5 linked regions of the Oryctolagus cuniculus genome follow. The main gene of each other region encodes a partner of the protein of the gene in region 2 in a complex. Links are inferred from orthologs where the notes say so. Each region holds a gene or a part of one and is shown on either strand. Other genes may lie near its edges. The genes, in order: Y-box-binding protein 1, IGF2BP1, HNRNPU, ELAVL4 and G3BP1.

Evidence for each region.
Region 1: IGF2BP1 (region 2) and Y-box-binding protein 1 share a complex: the UniProt entries of both Homo sapiens proteins name them as parts of the coding region determinant (CRD)-mediated complex. The link is inferred for Oryctolagus cuniculus from reciprocal best matches to the Homo sapiens genes IGF2BP1 and YBX1.
Region 3: IGF2BP1 (region 2) and HNRNPU share a complex: the UniProt entries of both Homo sapiens proteins name them as parts of the coding region determinant (CRD)-mediated complex. The link is inferred for Oryctolagus cuniculus from reciprocal best matches to the Homo sapiens genes IGF2BP1 and HNRNPU.
Region 4: IGF2BP1 (region 2) and ELAVL4 share a complex: the UniProt entries of both Homo sapiens proteins name them as parts of the TAU mRNP complex. The link is inferred for Oryctolagus cuniculus from reciprocal best matches to the Homo sapiens genes IGF2BP1 and ELAVL4.
Region 5: IGF2BP1 (region 2) and G3BP1 share a complex: the UniProt entries of both Homo sapiens proteins name them as parts of the TAU mRNP complex. The link is inferred for Oryctolagus cuniculus from reciprocal best matches to the Homo sapiens genes IGF2BP1 and G3BP1.

What each region holds. Positions count from the first base shown.
Region 1 is NC_091434.1:59,356,812-59,360,935, reverse strand, and holds Y-box-binding protein 1, read left to right. Parts: upstream 1-1,882; 5' UTR 1,883-1,897; coding exon 1,898-2,911; 3' UTR 2,912-3,433; downstream 3,434-4,124. UniProt on the Homo sapiens protein: DNA- and RNA-binding protein involved in various processes, such as translational repression, RNA stabilization, mRNA splicing, DNA repair and transcription regulation.
Region 2 is NC_091448.1:25,217,261-25,221,466, forward strand, and holds part of IGF2BP1 (insulin-like growth factor 2 mRNA-binding protein 1), read left to right. Parts: intron 1-465; coding exon 466-747; intron 748-1,828; coding exon 1,829-1,963; intron 1,964-3,505; coding exon 3,506-3,628; intron 3,629-3,980; coding exon 3,981-4,116; intron 4,117-4,206. UniProt on the Homo sapiens protein: RNA-binding factor that recruits target transcripts to cytoplasmic protein-RNA complexes (mRNPs). This transcript 'caging' into mRNPs allows mRNA transport and transient storage.
Region 3 is NC_091444.1:64,895,232-64,900,214, forward strand, and holds the start of HNRNPU (heterogeneous nuclear ribonucleoprotein U), read right to left. Parts: upstream 3,305-4,983; 5' UTR 3,041-3,304; coding exon 2,350-3,040; intron 1,500-2,349; coding exon 1,388-1,499; intron 1,301-1,387; coding exon 1,227-1,300; intron 1-1,226. UniProt on the Homo sapiens protein: DNA- and RNA-binding protein involved in several cellular processes such as nuclear chromatin organization, telomere-length regulation, transcription, mRNA alternative splicing and stability, Xist-mediated transcriptional silencing and mitotic cell progression.
Region 4 is NC_091438.1:122,750,156-122,754,863, forward strand, and holds the start of ELAVL4 (ELAV-like protein 4), read right to left. Parts: upstream 2,989-4,708; 5' UTR 2,823-2,988; coding exon 2,742-2,822; intron 1-2,741. UniProt on the Homo sapiens protein: RNA-binding protein that is involved in the post-transcriptional regulation of mRNAs. Plays a role in the regulation of mRNA stability, alternative splicing and translation.
Region 5 is NC_091437.1:38,748,411-38,753,306, reverse strand, and holds the start of G3BP1 (ras GTPase-activating protein-binding protein 1), read right to left. Parts: upstream 3,010-4,896; 5' UTR 1-3,009. UniProt on the Homo sapiens protein: Protein involved in various processes, such as stress granule formation and innate immunity. Plays an essential role in stress granule formation.

The sequences.
Region 1 (4,124 bases), on a different chromosome or scaffold from region 2:
TAGACTCGGATACGGACTACGAGGGGAAGCTGGGAGAAATCTCTAAGGTTGAAAGCGAAAGTGAAAGCTAGAACAAACAAACTTGGATACGGACTGTGGGGAGAAGCCAGGAGAAATGAAAGGGGAATATTGTTGGAAGAAAAGTTAGGAAACATACCGGGTAGAGAAAAATGTTAGGGAGGATGAAGCCGCAGGGGCAGGCCGAGGTGGAGACGTAAGCTAGCTTGGAATTCTTCAAGTCAGCCCAGGGAGCAAAAGGCGAAAATCTGGAACCAGAGGCAGAGACGTGGGCCGCCAGGTTGGAATCCGTCAGATTAGCCCGGGGAGCAAAAGACGGGAAGCCAAACCGAAAGGCGCAGACGTGAGCTAGGTTGAATTCGCCAAGTTAGCCCAGGGAACTTAGACTGAATACCGGTGGCGGAAACGTGAGCTAGGCTGTGTGATTTGCGGAAGCTGCCGCGCGCAGAGAGAGCGTGCGGGGCACGAATAGATAGGGAACGTGGGGCTAGCGCAAGGCTGTGGTACGGGTGTGAAGGGGAGCGGAGACCGCGGAGCATGCGCGAAGCCGGGAAGTGGCACAGAGCCGGGAAGCCGCTGCGGGGCAAGGTGCCAAGAAGCAGCCTCGGGGCGGGCGCCGGGATGCCGCAGGGATAAGAGAAATAGAAGTATAGAAGTAAAATGAGAGAAATAGGAATGCTGGCAGATAGAAGTAAAATAGGAGAAATAGGAATGCCTGGAGATAGAGAAATAGAAAGGCCTCCCCACAACACGGCAATGAGAGAGCTTGGATTCGGTCTGCCTGATTAGTAAGACGATAAGCACCTGTGAGCGGCTGCATGTCACCGAAGACAGGCACGTTATCAACACCAATAAGTCTCCCCACAAGACGGCGATGATAGGGCTTGGATTCGGTTTGCCTGATTGGTAGGGCTTGTAAGCACCTGCAGGCAGTTCTAGCAGAGCAGAGCATGCGCTGCAGGGCACCGAACACAGGCACGCATCAGCGCCTAAAAACCTCACAACATGGCGAAGAGAGGACCCGGATTCGGTTTGCCTGATTGATAGGACTTGTAAGAACCTGTGGGCAACTCCAGCAAGCAGAGCAGAGTGTGTGCCACGGGGCACCGAAGACAGGCGCGTATCAACGCCAAAAAATAAAAAGAAAGGGGGATCTGTGGGGAGCAACTCAGACTAGACTGTTACTGGAATTAAGACTTATTCTATGCATCTGCTCTCCCACAATATGGCGCTGGGAGAGGAGTAAACAGCTTCTACTCAGCTGCCTCCAGTTCAACCAATAAACAGCAGGACCTGCTCCTGATTGGAGGAGAGCAGCATACTCGGCGTGTGGGTAGCAGAGTTGGGATTGGTGGAAGAGGACTATAAAGGAGGAGAGAGACAACATGCACCAGGAACATCTAAGAGGAACACCTGTGCAGCCCCCGAGAGAGCCGGCTGGCGGTGTGCTGCTCCCCCGCGGAAGTGGGGAAAGTGGCAGGGGGAACCGCCCTTCCACGGAGGTGGGAGGGACGGTAGCCAACCTGGGAAGAACCAGCAGCAAACCCGGGGAGGGCCGAGCAGACAAAAGAACAGCGCAGGGTCTAGTGTCGTTCCTCCACGAAGACGGGGAGCGACATAATGGTGCCGTGACTCGGATATGAAGCCTAGGCAGGGTTTAGTGTCGTTCCTCCATGAAGAGGGGGAGCGACAGTAGGCTGAAACAGTAGTAGATTATTTAGAAATAGAATTAATGTTGTGTAGGATTATTAATAATGCTGATATTTTGATACTTAAAATGGAAGAGCACTAAAGATAAATCATTGTATGAGGCAACCTCAAAGTTCATGGAAAGTGGAATTTAAAGAGAAGTATCTGGGTACAAACATGTTTGAAATGCATGTTTTTAAAAATAATACACATAGTTCGATCGGTAGCGGGAGCGGAGAGCGGACCCCAGAGAGCCCTGAGCAGCCCCACCGCCACCGCCGGCCTAGTTACCATCACACCCCGGGAGGAGCCTCAGCTGCCGCAGCCGGCCCCAGTCACCATCACCGCAACTATGAGCAGCGAGGCCGAGACCCAGCAGCCGCCCGCCGCCCCCGCCCTCAGCGCCGTGGAAACCAAGCCCGGCACCACGGGCAGCGGCGCAGGGAGCGGTGGCCTGGGCAGCCTCACATTGGCGGCGCCCGCCGGCGGGGACAAGAAGGTCATCGCAACGAAGGTTTTGGGAACAGTAAAATGGTTCAATGTAAGAAACGGATATGGTTTCATCAACAGGAATGACACCAAGGAAGATGTATTTGTACACCAGACTGCCATAAAGAAGAATAACCCCAGGAAGTACCTTCGCAGTGTAGGAGATGGAGAGACTGTGGAGTTTGATGTTGTTGAAGGAGAAAAGGGTGCGGAGGCAGCAAATGTTACAGGTCCTGGTGGAGTTCCAGTGCAAGGCAGTAAATATGCAGCAGACCGTAACCATTATAGACGCTACCCATGTCGTAGGGGTCCTCCACGCAATTACCAGCAGAATTACCAGAATAGTGAGAGTGGGGAAAAGAATGAGGGATCGGAGAGCGCTCCCGAAGGCCAGGCCCAACAACGCCGGCCCTACCGCAGGCGAAGGTTCCCACCTTACTACATGCGGAGACCCTATGGGCGTCGACCACAGTATTCCAACCCTCCTGTGCAGGGAGAAGTGATGGAAGGTGCTGACAACCAGGGTGCAGGAGAACAAGGTAGACCAGTGAGACAGAATATGTATCGGGGTTATAGACCACGATTCCGCAGAGGTCCTCCTCGCCAAAGACAGCCTAGAGAGGACGGCAATGAAGAAGACAAGGAAAACCAAGGAGATGAGACCCAGGGTCAGCAGCCACCTCAGCGTTGGTACCGCCGCAACTTCAACTACTGACGCAGACGCCCAGATAACCCTAAACCACAAGATGGCAAAGAGACAAAAGCAGCCGATCCACCAGCTGAGAATTCGTCCGCTCCCGAGGCTGAGCAGGGCGGGGCTGAGTAAATGCCGGCTTAACATCTCTACCATCATCCGGTTTAGTCATCCAACAAGAAGAAATGAATATGAAATTCCAGCAATAAGAAATGAACAAAAGATTGGAGCTGAAGACCTTAAGTGCTTGCTTTTTGCCCATTGACCAGATTACTAGAACTATCTGCATTATCTATGCAGCATGGGGTTTTTATTATTTTTACCTAAAGATGTCTCTTTTTGGTAACGACAAACGTGTTTTTTAAAAAAGCCTGGTTTTTCTCAATACACCTTTAAAGGTTTTTAAATTGTTTCATATCTGGTCAAGTTGAGATTTTTAAGAACTTCATTTTTAATTTGTAATAAAAGTTTACAACTTGATTTTTTCAAAAAAGTCAACAAACTGCAAGCACCTGCTAATAAAGGTCTTAAATAAAAAAAAAATAATACACATTATCCATGAACTTTTTGAAGATCCTTTGTACAGAAGCACAGGGTGGTAGTTGAGGGTATGAGTTTGAACCCTTCCTCCCACTCTTGGTAGTGTGATGTTTGTGTCCTTGTTTCAGATTCCCCATTTGTAAAGTTGGAATGATGATAATACATATTTCATTGTGATGTCATGTGTAAGAATTGTGAATAGTAAGTGTATCATAATTATTAGGGATTAAAGAGTAACTTTTCCTCTAAGTTATGCTTGCTAATATGTCAGTTGGGCTATATTTTTCTGCTGCAGTTATTAAAAGGACTTGTGTAGAGCTTTTGTAGGATTTTGAAGAAGGAATAAAGATCCCTCGCAGAGACCTTGAACCTAGAATCAAGCTCACAGTGACCCGGTTTTTGTAGAGTTCTGAGGTCCACTAGTGAGTCAGGATCAACCTAGATTTATGAAATTGCAGCCATGGAGTGTGACACTACTCCCTAAGAACATTTATCTCTGTGTTGAACTTCATACTAGACTAGAATTAAATAGAATAGAAGTAAAATAATAGAGGACAGAAGTGGTTGGCCTTTGTAGGCTGTTATTGTGTATGAACTAAAGAGCGTGATTATTAGTGGTCATTGGATTTGGATAAGCCAGTCTGAGACCATGATACTAAATTTTTTTTTCAAAATAAAATATTTTGATAATTTT
Region 2 (4,206 bases):
AGCTGGATCAGAAGTGGAGCAGCCGGGACTTGAACCAATACCCACGTGGGATGCCGGCGATGCAGGCGGCGGTTTTACCTGCTACATCATCATCACAGCGCCAGCTCTAAGAGAGTCAGATTTTTTTTTTTTTTAAGTTTTTGGAGTCTGGTTTTTTTGAGCCACCTGAGGTGTGTGGTGTGTCCTGCAGCCAAGGCAGGAGTGCCCTGGGAGATCCATGGTTGTTCCCGGCCTGGAAGTCCACTGACCGCCCACCCCGCCCCGTGCTGGGTGTCACCGAGTCCATGTCTTTCTCCGTGTCTCAGGCTGTTTAGATCAGAAGGGTGCCCAGGGCAGGAGTGGTGGGCAGTGGATCCCCCCAGTGTGTGCCCAGCTGGGGTACCCCAGAGTGCTTTGCGCCAGGAGCGCACCTGATATGACTGGCATGGTGGGGGAGTGACTGGTCCCCTCTACCTCTGTCCCCAGAGCCATCACGAAGCTGAATGGCCACCAGCTGGAGAACCACGCCCTGAAGGTCTCCTACATTCCCGACGAGCAGATAGCCCAGGGCCCCGAGAACGGGCGCCGTGGAGGCTTCGGCTCCCGGGGTCAGCCCCGCCAGGGCTCGCCCGTGGCGGCCGGGGCCCCTGCCAAGCAGCAGCAGGTGGACATCCCCCTTCGGCTCCTGGTGCCCACCCAGTATGTCGGCGCCATCATTGGCAAGGAGGGTGCTACCATCCGCAACATCACGAAGCAGACTCAGTCCAAGTGAGTCCGGGGGCAGGGGGCAGGGGACAGCGGCCGGGACTCAGGCAGAAGTTGCCCTGCACCCTTGGGTCCTCGGGGTCCCTGGGAGGGCCTGGCCGGTGGGGAAGGAGAATGGGCCTGGGGTGCAGCATGGGTGCCAGTGGCTTGGCCATGCACCGCCACCAGCGAGATGTCGCAGGAGGCACTGGGGAGTCAGTACTGGTGTCGGTGGTTTCACGACCACGTAGTGGTGGCACAGGGCTGGCCTGTCTGTCCCGAAAGGCAGGGCCCTTGGTCAGAGGCCATCAGTGTATGTCCTGCCTCCTTTTCCACCCCTTTGAATTCCTTTCTCTAATCTTTATAGCTGATCAGTGTACTCAGTGGGAAAGAACAGGTCACATTAAGTCCTCCTCATCATAAATTCTGTATCTACTTTTAGCTGGGGACAAGGTGGCTGCTGTTTCTGTTGTTTCGAGGGGGGCACACAGTGTTCCAGCGGACATGGAGCCAGTGTTGTGTGATACGTGACATTCTGTACCCAGCCGTATCTGGATCCAGACACTGCAAAGACAGGCTGGCCACAGCTCTCTCTCTGGCCCTGCCTTGGCCCTTTTCAAATCTCTTTCTATGTATATATGATTTATATATATATATATGATTGATATAATTTATTTTTATTTTTTTGAAAGACAGAGAGACATAGAGAGATCTTTCATCCGCTGATTCGCTTCCCAAATGGATACAACAGCCAGGGCTGGGCCAGGCCAAAGCTAGGAGCCCATTACTCCATCCAGGCCTCCCGTGTGGGCGGCAGGGACCCAAGCACATGGGTCATCCTCCGCTGCTTTCCCAGGCACATTCACAGGGAGAGGGACTGGAAGTGGAGCAGCCGGTGCTTCGGTCAGGGATGCAGCATCGCAATCAGCGGCTTAACCTGCTGCACCACGAGGCCAGCCCCCCAGGGCTGCCTTGTGTCAGCCTTGTTTCTAGAAGAACAGGTTCTGTTCCTTGGACTCCTGAAGTGTGTGGTTTTGTGTCGGGGGCAGGGGAAGAGCAGATGTCGCTGGCGAGAACTAACGGGCTCTGCCCTTGCTCGGCTCAGGATAGACGTGCACAGGAAGGAGAACGCGGGCGCCGCCGAGAAGGCCATCAGCATCCACTCCACCCCCGAGGGCTGCTCCTCCGCCTGCAAGATGATCTTGGAGATCATGCATAAGGAGGCAAAAGACACCAAAACGTGAGTCTCCTGCTCCTCCCGGGCCTCAGGGACTGGGCCCCCTCTCCCCACGCAGATCCTGGTGCAGAATTCCTGGAGACAGGGACGTAGACTAAGTGAAATCCTCCTTAGACCCACTGTGGGGTCTCCCAGAAATTCTGTGCTCCCAGGGGGGTGCGTGTGGGTGTGTGCGCAGGTGTTCTGGCACGGAAGATCACGTGATGCCAGGTATGTTGTTCTGTCCACATTTCGCTCTCTGTACCAACACCCGTGTCCTGGAGCCTGTGGACACACCTCGTTTTGTCCTTGGCATAGTGGGCTGGTGTGTGCTCCCTTAAGTAGTCTCCTGGTTCTTGATGGGTGTTTGTGTTGTCTCCGTTCTCCCTGGTTACGAGGGGAGGGCGAGGGCACTTGGAGCTGTGGTTAAGACGCTGATTGGGTTCCCACTTCCTAGTGGAATGGGTTCCAGCCCAGACTCCACTTCTCACGCCAGCTTCATGAATGCGGCGCAGGTCTCTGGGTCCATGTGGGAAACCGGGATGGAGTTCCGGTCTCCTGACTCCACAGAGCCCAGCTCTGGCAGTTCGGGGAGTGAAGCCACAGATGGGAGATCTCTCTGCCTCTGCTTTTGAAATAAGTTAAAGTAAAACAGCAGGCGTGCTTCATTACTCCTATGTTTATTTACGCTTTTGGCCTTTTTTACAGCATTATTGAGGTCAGTTCGTAGACAGTAAGTCACACATTTAAAGAAATATTTATTTAAAAGCAGAGTGAAAGATTTAGAGAGGAGAGAGAGACACATAGAGGGAAGGATCTCTACCCACCGGTTTGCTCCCCAAATGCTCGCAATAACCGCGGCTGTGCCAGGTTGAAGCCAGGAGCCAGGAATTCCATTTGGATTTCCCACGTGAGTAACGGGCTCAGAGGCTGAGCCAGCACCTGCTGCCTTCCCCGGGTGCACGCGCAGGAAGCTGGATCAAAGCTGGGCAGCCGGGACTCCAGCACTGTGATAGCTTGCCGTCGTCCCCGTCAGCGGCTTATACCACCGTGCCACGAAGTCAGCACCCCAAGTGTCCTTGAACCCCCTCAACCTCTCATCCTCACCGCCATATCTCTGTCGCAAAGCCACCTGGGCCTGCTGAGCCATCACTTCTCCTTGTTTTTTTTTTCTTTTTAAATATTTATTCATTTATTTGAAAGACAGTTACAGAGAAGCAGAGACAGACACAGAGAGACAGAGAGAGAGGTCTTCCATCCACTGGCTCACTCCCCAGATGGCCGCAACAGATGGAGCTGTGCTGATCCAAAGCCAGGAGCCACACCTGGGTCTCAGAGGCCCAAGCACTTGGGCCGTCTTCCACTGCTTTCCTAGGCCATAGCAGAGAGCTGGATCAGAAGTGGAGTAGCTGAGATTTGAGGCGGCGCCTTTACCCGCTACGCCACAGTGCCGGCCCAGAGCCATCACTTCTCGCATTTTGTCCTGGGAAACCCACACTGGCGTGGCACGATGGTTGGGTCTGTGTGTCCACCGCTGATGGCGCTCATGTTCCCACGCCTCCCCAGGGCTGACGAGGTCCCCCTGAAGATCCTGGCGCACAACAACTTCGTTGGCCGACTCATCGGCAAGGAGGGGCGGAACCTGAAGAAGGTGGAGCAGGACACAGAGACGAAAATCACCATCTCCTCGTAAGACGCTGTCCCGGAGGGGCGGGGGACCTTCCGGCACACACCCCACACTGGATGCAGAACAGTCGCGGACGTGCAAGGAGTCCTTCTCTTAACGGCCGTGAGAGCTGCGCTCTTGCCACCCCACTGCCCTGGGCAGGACTGCACATGTTGCAAGTAGAGGGGCTTCCTGTGGGAGACCTCATCTCCCCGCCCCTCCCCGGGACAACCAGGGACGCCCCAGGCTGGAGGCGGGATTATATGGCAGAAGTTACACAGCCCACTGAGACGCTGGACTTGTAGCTCCCGGTTCTGGCGTCTGGGCCTGCTGGCCAGCGGGTGGGGGTTGACCCCGCTGTGCTCTTCCTTGCAGGTTGCAGGACCTGACCCTCTACAACCCCGAGAGGACCATCACCGTGAAAGGGGCCATCGAGAACTGCTGCAGGGCCGAGCAGGAAATCATGAAGAAAGTGCGAGAGGCCTATGAAAACGACGTGGCCGCCATGAGCGTGAGTGCCCCGCAGGGCCCTGTGTGGGCGACTCCCCGAGACTCAGCAACAGCCAGGGGAAGCCGGGAGCCCAGGACCGCCGCCTCTGGG
Region 3 (4,983 bases), on a different chromosome or scaffold from region 2:
TGTATTAGCAACAATTAAGGATTAAGCTCTTAATCAGGTCATCCAAATCCAAAGCATCTTTAATCTAGCTACCTCTGGGTCACGTGAGGGACAGCTAAAGTCAAGGTAGAAAGCTGGCTCTTTTCCTTTTTACAGGACAGGAAACCTACAGTTCGGAACTTTTAAATTAGCTTTGCTCCTGAAATTCCTGATCACTGATAGAACTATGATTTCAAGAAGCTGTTGTTGCTCCTGTAATCAGTGCTTCAGCATCTTGGTAACTGCTAGTAACTTGAAGCAACTGATTTTGACATCAAAATTTCAAGCCACCTTTTCCATATGCATTTTTTTCCCAAAGACTCAACTCTTAACTACCTGTACAGGGTATTCAAGTAAGAAATCAGAGGTATCACCATTTATCACCTGAATCAACAATCTGTACAAGGAAGCATCCGAATCTAACTTCCGCCTTACCAGAGCAACTTGACATTTTAACTTTTCAAGTACGATTTCTACTCTTGGTTCTATTTCACACTGGAAAGACTGGTGCATCCTATTCTGATCAAACGCTAACCCAACGTAATTTAAGTAAAATCTGACAGCCACGGCCCATTTAAAGGTTTGCAATAATTCCGCATACTCGATTGCAACCCAACTGGGTAACGTAGTATTTACAGTGCTGCCATTGATACCATTCGCTGCTGAAGAAAGCTAGTGGCCCAGTGATGGCCCACTGCTGCTGCCCCAGGTCTTTGGAAGAAATCAACTTATGTTAAAGCAGCAGCTACTGAACTGGAATTGAGAACAAAAGAGCAGTTATTGAAATAGTATTACAGTCTTTTAGAATAGGGAATATACTTGAGTGCTAATGGGAAAAGTCATCAGTTAAGTATTTAACCAGCCCAAGTAGCTGACTTAACAATCCCAAAATAAAAGGAAATTACTGTAGGACACGTTAACAGTTTCCATTAGCTAACTAGTCCAAAATTGGCATCAATTTCACATTCAAGAATAAGAAGCTTTAAATTACAATTAAAATTGCCAAAGCCTGTAAAATCAATTCAACACAACTGATGGCATATTAATATTAAACTACTGCACTCTGGGTATCAATCATTATCTTTGCTTTTTAGAAAACTGTACATGTTTTCTGCACTTAGGTTAAACGTACTGCAATCTAACATTGTCAAAAAAACCCAAGGCATTTGAGGACTGCGTGGGGGAGCGGGTGAAACAGCTTCACTTACAAGTATCAAGACAAACCACTGTGTCATCGAAGTGCTCATCTTCTTCTTCAACGGGGGGCTGAGGAGATTTGGCTCTGAAAGACAGAATGGGCTCCTGATACGTCTCTGCCCACCCACGGAGAACGGGCAACAACAACGCACAATCCGTTAGCATCCTCTACCTGCTGTACTTGTTCTCTTCAATGTACTCAAAATATCCACGGCCATGATCTTCTCGAGGTCTTTTTACACCTCGCTTTTTATCTCCGCCTTTCTGCTCTGTTTTGCCGTCTCCTATAACACACGACACTCTCATAAGTGCTCAAGCCACCCAACACCCCCGCCAAAAGAAAAAAAAGCCGCTTTTATTTCAAGTTGCCTAAAAGCATCGAATTAATGAGTTTTGGGTGAATACTGAACCGCCAGGTCGAATGTGAATTCAAACTATCAGCTTGGAATTGGATTGGAGTTAGTGACGCAGCCTAAAGACGTTACTAATTCGGCCCGTCTACCGGAGGCTTCAAGAAAGCTTAAGCGCAACTGCGCGCCGGAGGCCCCGAGCCCACGTGGATCCCGACGAGCGGTCAGGAGGGGGAGGGGCGCGGGGGCGGCGGCCCCTCCCCCACCCGGGCCCGCGCAGCCCGCGGCCGCATTGTACGGATCTTCCGCCCCGCTCGGCGCGCCGGCTCCTCCCGCCGGAAGTGACGTCACGCCGAGCCCCTGCGCTCCTTGCACAATACCGCGGCGAGGAGCCGCCAAAGCGCGCCCGCCCCGGGACCTCGGGCCTCTCCCCTCCCCCCGCCCTGAGCCATGTGCCCGCACCGCGCGCACACACAGCGCGGCGGCGCCACCGCGGGCCGACGGGGCTCCTCCCCCCCTCCCGCGGCAGCTGCAGCTCCCCCGCCCCCACCCCCGCCCCGGCTCCCGAGCCACATAATGGAGGCGCTGCCACCGCCGTCACACACGCACACGCACACACACACCCCGAGCCCCAGGCCTCTCGGCTAATCTGGGATTCCCCGCACCCCTCCCTCCCCCCACCGCCGCCCACCCAGCCACCAGCGGGGGGCTCCGGCAGGCCGGGGGCCCGGTCCCCACCCCACGCGGGCCTCCCGCCGCGCGCAACGTACAACGCAGCACTCACCCGCCGCCGGAGCCCCGGGGCGACCGCCTCCTCCGCCGCCTTCCGCCTTCTTCTTACCTCCCGCCTGCTGCTGGCCCTGCCTCGCCCCGGGCGGCGCCACCGTCACCGCGAACAGCGAGGTGGGGCCGCTGCTCTTCCCCGCGGCCTCCTTGGCCGCCCCGCGCTGCTGCGGAGGCTGTTGCTGCGGCGCCGCCGGCGGTTGAGGCTGCTGCTCCCCGTGCCCGTTCTCGTCGCCCGCGCCCTCCTCCTCGTCGCCGAGCTCGTCCTCCCCTTCCTGGAAGCCCTGATCATCGCCGTTCTCGTCTTCCGAGGCGGCCTCCTCCTCCTCCATCGGGCCCGACTCGGCCGCCCCCGCGGCCCCGTTCTCCTCTCCTAGCTCCATCTGGTCGCCATCCAGGGCGGCGATCCCTTCCTCCTCCTCTTCCTCCTCCTCCTCGTCGTCGTCGCCGCCGGCCGCGGCCTCCTGCTCGAGGCCTGCTCCCGAGCGCCCGGCGGAATCCCCGCCCAGGTCTAGGCTGCCGTTCCCGGGCTCCATGGCGGGGCGGCCCCCGGCCTCCTCGTCGTCCAGCGCAGCCTGGAGTCGCTCCATGAGCTCGGCCTTGAGGCCCTTGTCGGAGAGGCGCCGCTTCTTGAGCTCCTCTTTCAGCTCAGACACCTTCAGCTTTTTTACATTAACAGGCGAGGAACTCATGATGAGGGCCCCGATTCGCGGCAGGGAGCTTGGCTCGGACTGGGCTCCGCTCACTCGGCCACTGGTAGCGGCTGCTGCGGCTGCTCCTCGGTCCGGGCGGCGGCTGCGGCTGGAGGTGGGTTCGTGCTGCAGAGAGGACCCGCCTGGTGTCGAACGGCGCCAATTCCTTTCACCGAGTTCGCGAGGGAGACGCGGAGACTCGCCTGGCGCGAGCGAGCACGCAACGTCCTCTCGCAGGGGCGGCGCCGCGCACGTAATATAGCCGCCCCGCCCCCCGCGCTGACGGGCGCGCCGCGCAGCAGGAAGGCGGGAGCGCGCTCGCGCTCGGCCCCGCCCAGCACCGTCCCTGCCTCCCCGCCCCCACGCCGAGGCCCGGGTCGGGAGCGCGGCACAGGCCGCGCAGTGCGCTTCCTATTGGGTGCCGAGCAAATGGAGGAGAAGGAAACCGCCTTTCGGTTTAACCGGCCCGCTGCAAAGTCCACTGGGTTTCTGCCGAGGGAGCTCGTTCTGCTCTTGGCCTCCCAGCCTGGGCGGCTGCTCGGCTTGAAATGCTAGCAGAGCTCAGCTTGGCGTTTTCAGCTCGAACCCCTCCACCTTTTCTTCCATCTTAGTATTGCCGTCCTGGGTGCCCCTCCTGCTATACCGTTTTAAAACGCCTCGGGATTTTATTTCCGCTCTGGCTTGTCTAACCCAGCCTGGCAGTCAGCACACGGAGAGTTGGTTCGTCCCTTCTTCCCCCCCTCTCCCCCCCCACCTCCGGCCTCGTATCTCCTTTCATTTTTCTAAGCCGGCCTGGCGAATGGCCTTTTAAATTCGGGAAGCCTTTCTTTTGTGTCTTCGGCAGCCCCCGGTGCGGGGCCTGGGAAAGCGGCTTCTCCCCTCCTCCGGTCTGCATCCGCAAAGCGCGCTCTTCGCGGCAGCCACACGCATGGCGTCAGTGGCCTTGCAGAGGCCTCTGTGGGGCCTGATGTTTGTCATTCAGGCCCGGGCGTGCGGTGAGGAGGGCGAAGCGCAGCTAGGACCTGCCACCCGTGGATTTTCTCCCTGTCCCCGCGGGGACCCAATGGTGCCCAAACCAAAGGCTCCTGAGATGGAACAGGGCGACAGTCTGGCAGACGGGCCATGAGAGACCTCGCTCTCAAAAAGAAATCCGTGATTGGATCGTGGTTGAAGTTTGAGAGTGGCAATCCGGGGTAGCATCCTAATCCCCCAGCGTCCCCACAGTGCCAGGCCAGCGATCCCCGTGGGAATGAGGAAAGAGACCTGCTGCACAAAAAGACTGCTGTGCTATTGATTTGAAATGTGGAAGTACAGAAATGCAAATCTTGTCCCGTAGGCTGAGGTGATGTAACTGATCCACAAATGTTCGTTTTTAAAAGCTGCTTTTCAACAGTTTTTAAGAAATGTGTCTTACCCTGTATTCAGGCATAAGGTGAAATACTGACATCCGTGAGATTATTTGAGTTGAGATTAATAGTGTGCAGTACTGGTAATCCTCAAATTAACAGAGGGGACTAGGACAGCCCGGAAGTAGAAGCGTCCAAATAGTGTCAGAAATTCACTTGGCCTTTGGCTATGTTGCTGAAGCTTGCCAACAAGCCACAGACGAATTTGAACTCTTCCTTGCTCTCATTCAGAATTGGGAAGAGAGCTGCAGGGGGCTTCGATGTTCTCCAACTGGGTAATTAATGAATCAGAGTTAAGTGCAATTATGTCGATGGTCCTCTAATGTGTATGTGTCCTCAGATTTAATTTATGTTTTTAAATTTTAGTCAGAAGGAAACAATTTCCATTTAACACAGAAAAAACTATGAAAACCAAGCTTATATAAGCATAATAGAGTTTTACATTGTTCTTAGATGATTATTAAACCATTTATATTAATAAATGAATTACTACTTCTGGTACACATGAGAAGTTTCCATGACTTCATCTCCCAGAGC
Region 4 (4,708 bases), on a different chromosome or scaffold from region 2:
TCCAAAGATACAGAATATAATGCTTCATATTAAATCTAAAACAATCAGAACTTATCCTTTCTTTAATGCTTTGGAGGATAATAGCCTGTTATTTTTCTTTTGGCTAATATAGAGTTGACTGTCAGCAAGAACAGTGATTCTCAAACTTTTCTGGTCATGAACCAACAAGTGAAAAAAAAGAAAAAAGTAAGATATTTTGAACGCAGCAGCTTCAAATCACAACTTAGAACGAAAGGTAACTGAAACAGAAGATTCATGAAATAAAAATACTTACTTTAAGGTAAGTACCATTCAACGATATTTTCTTTTCTGTTTCAGTCCATTCTATCATTGCATTGTTTTAATGTTTTTTAAATGCTGGTTCAGACCCAATAAAACAACTATAAGCAAAACCACAACCTAATATTGCTATTCTGTTCACTAACATGTATTAAAGATACAGTTCAACTGAGCCTGTGATTAAGCTCTGAAGTTTTATTAATTCTATTTTACATTAAGAAACCGAATCTCAGGGGCTGGCACTGTGGTGTAACAGGTTAAAACCCTGGCCTGAACCACTGGCATCCCATTTGGGTGCTAGTTTTAGCCCTGGCTGCTCCTCTTCCAATCCAGCTCTCTGCTATGGCCTGGGAAAGCAGAAGATGGTCCAAGTCCGTGGGACTCTGCATGCACATGGGAGACCCGAAGGAAGCTCTTGGCTTCGGATCAGCGCAGCTCTGGCTGTTGCGGCCATCTGGGGAGTGAACCAGCAGATGGAAGACCTCTCTCTGTGTCTCTACATCTCTCTGTAACTCTTTCAAATAAATAAAAAATAAATCTTAAAAAAAAAAAGAAACTGAATCTCAGAAAGTATAGGTGACTTGGGCTAAATGGACTCCCAAAAGTCAATGACAGATCTAAGATTCACAAGTTTTCTAACTCTGAAGTTAAGGAAACTTAAAAAACAACCCCCACCCCCCATAAAAGCCAAATTATGATATTATGATTATGATAAATCAACTCAATAAATGCATACTGAGTATTCACTATGTACCAGACACTGAAATAAGAAGGCATTTGACACAATCTTTGCCCTCCAATGCTAACTGAAGGTCATCAGATAAGACCTAACTTAGAGGTCAGAGTGTTGTGGTCAAGTCACTGCTTGGGATGCCTGCATCACATATCAAAGTGCTGGTTCAATTCCTGGCTGCTTCACTTCTAATTGAGCTTCCTAATATGCCCAGGAAGTCAGTGAAGATGGCTTAAGTACATGGGCTCCTGCCGCCCATGTGGGAGACCAGGATGGCATTGCTGGCTCCTGGCTTTGGTCTGGCCCAGCCAAGGCTGTTACAGGTATTTATGGAGTGAATCAGCAGCTAGATCTCTCTCTGCCTCTCTGCCTTCCAAATAAAATGAAAACAAATAATTTTTAAAAATACCAAAATCAGAAAAGTTAAGTGACTTAGTACACATACTTGTAAATCTAAAGTGGGTATTTTATATATTATTTATTTATTTATTTGAAAGGCAGAGTTACAGAGGCAGAGGCAGCGAGAGAAACAGGTCTTCCATCCATTGGTTCACTCCCCAAACAGCCACAGTGGCTGGTGCTGGGCCAGTTGGAAGCCAGGAACCTGGAGCTTTTTCCAGGTCTCCCACGTGGGTTCAGGGGCCCAAGAACTTGGCCAATTTTCTACTGCTTTCCCAGGACATAGCAGAGAGCTGGATTGGAAGTGGAGCAGCCAGGAGTCAAACCAGCGCACATACGGGATACTGGCATCGCAAGCGGCAGCTTTACATGCTACACCAGTGCTGGGCCCTAAAGCGGGTATTTTTTAATATAGGGGGAAATAAGCTAATTCCGCACCCACTACCACCTTCTCTTTGACCATCATTTACTCTACAGAATGAGCACTGGTAACTGTTGGCTAGAGCACACAGTGTACTCTTCTAATGGCACATTTCTTTACCATCTGAATAAAAGTTGGTATCTTTCATTCTAGTGCTTTCTGACAAGTAACCCTAAAAGTAGTCCTCAATGTGACTTCACCAATGATTGTCATCATCGTAACATCACAGTATGTTCAGAAGAATGCTCTAATGCCAATTCTTAGCTCTCTAAGTAACTGATATTTACTTTAGAAAAGTCTTTAGGATGCTTTTACTTCTGAGATATTGTCACTTAATAAAAAGAGAGGTCTAGCCCCTGAGAAACAACCAGGAAACAACAGTCCTTGATCTAAAACATTTCATAGCTACTAATCCAAAGTAGAAACCAAGTTAAAATACTGAACCTTCCTAAACCATAACTTTTACAACTGTCTCTCTAGCTTTACCTTTACACAGCCTATATTGCATTCACACCAAGCTACTTACAATTCCTTAAACAAGCCTTGTTAAGTTCCCATCTCTATGCCTTCATTAATACTATTCCTTCTATGTTGAATCCACCTTGCTTATAATTCTTCTGCTAATCCAGCTTCCTGGCTCAACTCAAAAGGTATTTCCTCCATAAAGCCTTGTCTTCTTCTTCTAACAAGTATCTCCCTCTTCTGTATATTGTACCATCTCTGCCAAAACACTGCCTACATTTTGTTTGTCATTATCCTTATTGATACTCATATTTTAATACATATTATAATATCTATTAAATAACATGACATTCTAGGAGGCAACTAGATTGTGCTTCCTATACAACAAACATACAATATACATTTCCTGAAACTGCATGGAAAATTTAGATCTAGAAAGGGAATTACCTTTTGTTCCTTTACCCAAGACAGGCGAACTTTGGCCAACCTGGACATATTCCCAGATACTCTGGAGTGAAGACTTTTCATATTGTTAAATATTTAACCTGAAGCAAGCAGTTGAGTTTTATTTTTGAAAAAAGGGGTTAACAGTACCTGTCTTAGTTACATTAACAAGATCAAACTGACAACATAGAGCAAATATTATATAAGGCTAAGTGAATATGAGATATGATCTCTATGGTCACAAATCTGTTAGAACAATCAAAGTTCTAGAATGTAAACTGCTCCTCTGTTCTAGGAAAACTGACACAACCTGAAGTATACCTCAGGAAGTGTACTGTCAAGATTACACCAACCCATGTCTCCAAAATTCACTAACTAGAGATCTTTTTAAGAGTTCTTAGTAAAGCTCTTCTAAACTTGAAGTTTTTCCTTCTTGTGGCAAATCTTAAGCCAGAAATATAAATTCAAGATTCAAGTACTGTCTTAAATATAGATGAAGTTCCAATTTTTTAAAAATATAAACACCTACCTAGCAACACAATCCTAAGAATATACATCTGCTTCTTATTTTGCCCATTTGCCTGCTCAAATCACTCACCCAATTATCTCCTTTTGGCCCTTCATTAATAGAATTGGATTTTTCTAGTCTAAAATCTAGAGAAGTATCTCCTATACTTTCCTTTCTCCAAAATGTAGCCTTCTCCCTTTTTATAAATATATTTCTTCCCATATAAGCATAGTCTAAAACTAAGAAAATACCTTCTAAGAGCTTGTATACCACACACAAAACCTACACACATAAACCTGCAAAACCTTTTATGATTTTTGGTGAAGCTTTGAAATACATAGACTCATGTGGAAAGAGAAAAGTCCTGTTATCTATTTCATAATAAAAGTTGTTTGCTTTTTTTTTTTTTTTTTAAAGAAATGAAAGTACAGGGCCTGGAAAACAGCAGTCATGGGATCAGATTAACTTACAACCCTTTCCCATAGGTGAGTTATTCATTTATTTAGAGGCAGAGAGAGAGAGCGAGTGAGCGAGCTCCTATCCACTGGTTTACTGTCCAAATGTCCACAATGGCCCAGACTGGGCGGGGGCTAGAGCCAGAAGCTGGAAACATAATCCAGGTAGCCCCTGTGGGTGATAGGAGTCCAACTACTTGAGCCATCACCACCACCTCTCAGGTTCCGCAGTGGTGGGAAACTAGAGTCAAGAGCTGGAGCTGAGAGATGAACCCAGGCACTCTAATGTGGGATGCAGATGTTGTACCTGCTAGGCTGAACACCTACTTCCTCTAAGGATTAAATTGAAGAAAAGAAGTAACTCCCACTCACATCCTTTCCATGACTGTATATGAAGTGAAATTCAAAATCTGTGACAGTAAACGATGTTCTAAGATTGTGTTTTCAGTTTAAGTCTTGAACCCCTTCAGGAATAAATTCTTTTTATTTCTCCATTCTTTTTTTTTTGGACAGGCAGAGTGGACAGTGAGAGAGAGAGAGACAGAGAGAAAGGTCTTCCTTTTGCCGTTGGTTCACCCTCCAATGGCCGCCGCAGCCGGCGCATCGCGCTGATCCGAAGGCAGGAGCCAGGTGCTTTTCCTGGCCTCCCATGCGGGTGCAGGGCCCAAGGACTTGGGCCATCCTCCACTGCACTCCCGGGCCATAGCAGAGAGCTGGACTGGAAGAGGGGCAACCAGGACAGAATCCGGTGCCCCGACCGGGACTAGAATCTGGTGTGCTGGCGCCGCTAGGTAGAGGATTAGCCTATTGAGCTGTGGCGCCAGCCTATTTCTCCATTCTTAAAGGTAAAGCAATAGGTCTCAATTTAGAATAATTCGTCAATTTATTTATCACGCTTTTTATTTCCCCCTTGAGAGTCTTGGAAAAAGGGCACAAATTTAGGTTTGGCCTGACACCCCCTGCTTCCTCATTTCAAATGTATGTAATCAACAACTATGTCAGGGTCT
Region 5 (4,896 bases), on a different chromosome or scaffold from region 2:
ACCCTATTACTACCACACACTTTATGTTACAATTTAGCTAACTATATAGGATGCATAGCTCTAGTCTTTTTAGTAAAAATACAATACTCAAATTGTGTGAAAGCACTTTTAAAATTTGAAGGCCTATATAAATACCTGATGTTGCCATTACACAGCCATATTATAAGTTAACAACCACCAAAGACCACATCCCTACAAAGCCGATGGGGTCTCACCCAGGAAGTCAGATTTTTCTCTGAAACATTTTTAATCTTTACTTTTCACAGAATGCTGAAGTACAGCAAACATACTAAAAAGCTATGCAATATTATAAAAAACAACCTTATTTACTAGATCACAGCCTGTGATGAAAAAAATGTTAACTGATTTCTGCTCTGTCAGGCAGACTCTTCATTCTTCGTATGTGGACTACTCCTAGCTCACCACACGACCACCTGGCTTGCAATTTAGCCTTCCCAGTGAGGCCCCAGTGGTGTGTAAGAACGCTTCACAAAAGAAGGGTCAACGAGAAAGCTGACTTTTCAAAAAGATATAAAGCTGGTTAACAGCCACAATGTGATCCCTAACTGTGAGTGAGATTACAGTTGCTGAATCTAAATTTAACTCCAGGACTTGGAAGGACAGTACAGGTTTCCCTCAGCTGACTAGTGGTGGGGGGTGGAAGGACTTTTTTTTTTTTGACAAATGTACTTTGATAATTGTCCTCCTTTGTAAAGTCAATACAATTCTGTCCAAGGAAGTCAAAAAGCACAATGTAATTACATATATACAGATACAGTACCTATTTGAATTCTGTAATTAAAAAAAAAACTATTGTGCAAAAATGTTAAAAGATCAAGTATGCAGTTTTATTATGACAAAAATACTTATTTTAGTAATTGGTCTTATATGAAATTTCAACACCATCACAAATCTATGAAAATTTAAAACTAATCTGTGTTCTTTACTTCCTAAATAAAGTACTGAAATAAATTTTGAAAACCCAAAAGATAAATTAACACGGGTCACAAACAAAATCAAAATCTCCCAATGTCGCCCCCACCCCACCTACCAGCTAAGAGTTAAACAATGACCCACATACTTTTCTACCTGTGAGAAGAGGTACAAAGCTTAGACTGAAAGGACTCAACTCCAAGAAAAGTAACCTATACCTTGATCCAGAAGTGGGGAGACACAGGTATTGTGTTATCACAATTTCTTCAGTTTACCAGTACTAGATAAAAGGCACAAATCAGCAGCTGGGGTACTGATTTGCAAAATAATCACATAGTATTCCAGACCAACAAGACCACTTCTTGCCTGAGGTCAAGAACAACTTTTTTAGTATTTGAAGGTAAAATTTACAAAATTTTCCTCAATACGTAAGATCATTTCATTCTGATATATTTATTTTACCTCAAGCAATAATGTTCACTGAACTCTGTTTAAATGTACGTCATTATCATGTTTGAACATCAGGCGATTTAAATGGTTCACCTTAAATCTTAACATGCTACAAATGCAGGTAACTGGAATTGCTACACAAAGCACGCTGCAAATAAAACAATGTTACATTTTAAAGCAACGTGTTATTTATAGCAACACCAACAAAGGAAGAACTTGTCCCTACAATTATTTTGATCCTTTATTGCTACCTTCTGTTAAGAAACAGGGAAAGCGCCTGTCGTAGAGAAACACAAATATTAAACTTCGTAATTGTTAATCCCTGCACAAGGATGCACGTTGTGTCTGCTTTGACAGCAAAAAAATCCCTTAAAGATCTGAAAAAGGATCTGTAGAAACAAGCTTTACTGAAAAACAAAACAGTGAAAAGCCTTTCAAGAAAAAAAATTAGTCCAAAGAGCTAATCTTCAAACTTTTTTTAGTTCTGCCTGAAGTTCAGGTATTTGCGATGCAAAATGAATGATACGGGCCTGCAACATTAAAAACATTTCACGAGACCAAGGCATTACTAGCTTTCAATAGTCCACAATATGAGAACACTGCTGTAAAAATAAACTCCAGTCCTTGATGGTAAGGAAGGTTTCTTCCACGACCTTGCACACACCCTGGAGCCTTGCGGACTGAACCCTGCAGACACACTTCCAATACCGACAGTGCGCCTCTCAGCCACAGAACCCCCGCAGGATCACGGTTACATTGTAACCGGTGCTATGTCCTCCACTCCAATTTCTAATTTCAACCCACAGGTGCTGGGGACATTCGAATCTCACTGCTCTGGACCTCATTTTCGGCAACTGATTTTCTTAGACGTCCCTTTTTTTCCCCGAAAATCGGCTGATTTAAACAAAAAAGGGAAAAGTCGAATCACAGCCTCACTTCCCGCTGGCGGGACTTTCCCATCACAATGCTGAGAGCTTAAAGCCCGATGAGGAACACACGCACTTATCTGCATTTTACTCGGTCCCCCCGCCCCTCTAATTTTCTCTGAAGCTGCAACGGTACGAATACGTGCAGGCACGAAGCCCAAACACCCCTTCCCTTTGTCGCAGCCCCACTCCCAACCCGAGCCCCTGCAAGCCCATGCGCACTCAGGCCCGGCCGCGCTCCGCGCAGGGGCCTTGCGAAGGGACAAGTGCTCCCGGGGCAAAGGTGCCCTGGACTCGCACCGGCTCAGGGGCCCGGAGCCAGCGAGCCACCCTACCCGCCCTTCCGCCCGTGGGCCTGTGCCTTCGTGCCTCTCCTATTCGAAAGGCGGCCGCGACGGCACCCAGCTCTCCGGGCAGACACCCCGCTCGGCACCGTGCGGGCGGGGAGGACCGCGCATCTCCCCCGTCCCCGCAGGCGCCACCAAGGCGCGGCACTTCTGCTTTGCCAGCTCCGAGACTCTCTCTCATGGCACTTTCGTGCTGTCCCCTCCAAGAAAGCCCCCGATGGCGCGTGGCGGGGGCCGGCGCGCAAAGCCAGCCGCACACGCTCCCGGGCAACGCGGGGACCCCGGGCCCGGGAGGTCACGCCGGGACTCGGAGGGCCGCCGCCACCGGCTGCTCTTGCCCCGCGTGGCCGTTGGACGCGCGCGCGGCGGACGCGGCCACGCGCTCCAGCCGGTGGGGGGGGGGGGGGGGGGGAGGCGGCGCCGCGCGCCCGAACGCCCGCCGCGCGCGCCTGCGGCCGTTGGGGTGGGGGTGGGGGGACGCGCCCCGCGCGGCAGCTCCTCGGGTTTCTCCTCTCTCCCGCCGTCGCCCCGACTCGTCCCCGTCCTCCAGTACCCTGCCCCGCCCACACCCCGGCGTACCTGCGCGGCTGAGTGGGAGAGGAACAAGCCTTGCTCCACCGCACGGAGAGAAGCAGAAATCGCTCACGCAACTGCGTCCGCACACACGCGTGCTCCGCCGCCGGTCTATATAATCGCGACTCAGCCTAACTTGTTGCAGCCAGGCCAGGCGAGTGGATGACCAATCCCGACTGCATCCTCTGGGCTCTTCGAACAGCAATTGGATACTGCCTCATGATGGGGGCGTGGCTCTTGATTGGCTTTGACACATACCTATGAGACTGTGAAGATCTCGTTTCCCTAGTAACGGATTGGCACTCAAAGGGCCCAGTAACTGGAAGGCATAGTAGAGAGGAGGGTGGGAAATTCTTTGACTGATACCCATAGTAGCCAATAAATGCTTGGAGATGCTCTCATTGGCTAGCACTCCATCCCCTGGGTGGAGACCCGTTTTCCGTGCAGGAGCGGTTGCTCCACAAGGTGGGGCCCGTGTACTTTGGGGAAGTAAACCCCAAGCAACTAGGAGGTGGGCAACTTGGAGGCCATGGAAGCACCTGGCCAATGGCAACACCGGAATGAGCTGATTGACATGGGGGTTGAACCGCTCTCCAAAGAGACCGAGGCTCAGGGCGGCCTTGCCCTCCGGGGCGATTAAGAGGCGGGCCGGGCTCCGGCTTCTGTCCTCTTTCTTTCGGTTGTTGGGTCCGGCCCCTGGGGTCTCCCTCTCCCGCCTTTTCCGCACAGTCTGGCACCCAGGAAGCCAAGTGGCAAAGTTTCCCTGAATTTAATTCTTCTCCTTATCAAACTCTTTCATGTCCGCGCGCTGCCTGAGGGCACTTGCTGGCCCTTCCCGTGAGTCAGCACTGCCGGCGAGGCGCGCCCGTTGGGAACGCCGGAGCCCGTGGCTAGGCGGCAGGTGGCGACGGCCGCTGGGCGGGAGGACGCGCGCCCCACGCGGGCTCCGGTCCGACTTGGCCCGCGGCACTGCCGCCGAGGAGCGATCGTTGGGCGGGCTGTGGTCAGCCCGCCGGCCTCGCCACCATTGTCACCCCTTGCTCTGGTGGCTGTGGTGCGGGGAGCTTCTGCCTTCACGCCGCCGCGCCGGGTGAAGGTAACTCCTCCTCAGACCCCTCGGGGGCCTGCCCGCCCAGCCCTGCCCTGCCCACGGCGCTCGACCTCGGACCCGGCCCTCTGTTGGCCGCCACGGGCATCGGACACGATAAGAGCCGCGGTTGCAGCGCGCTGGGCGCAGACCCGCCCGGGTCCGTTCTTGCAGCCATGTGACCGGGGGCTGGGGCTCCGTTAGGCTGCGCTGAGACACTGGGAGATGAAGCACGTGGAGCGGCCGTGCTGCGGGAGAGCGACGCCGAGCCGGCCGGCCCAGCGCAGGCGGCGGGGAGAGACGCCATGCCCGCCGCCTGGCCGCCTCCGGCCGGTGGGAGCCGCGCACCTTGGGCACCGGCTGCGCCCCGCGGATGCTGCCCCGCCGCGACGGAGCTCGGCCCGGAGCAGGCGCTAAGGAAGCTGCGAGACGTTAGCCAGGCTAAGGAATTTGGACTTTAATCTGAGGGCAGTGGAGAGCCCCAGGAAGCCTTCTGAAAGAGTCTGGGACCAAGAGATTGGCTTTTTTTTTTTTTCTTTTGCAGGAAACTCTAAAACTTTATTGAGAGAATTTTAACAAT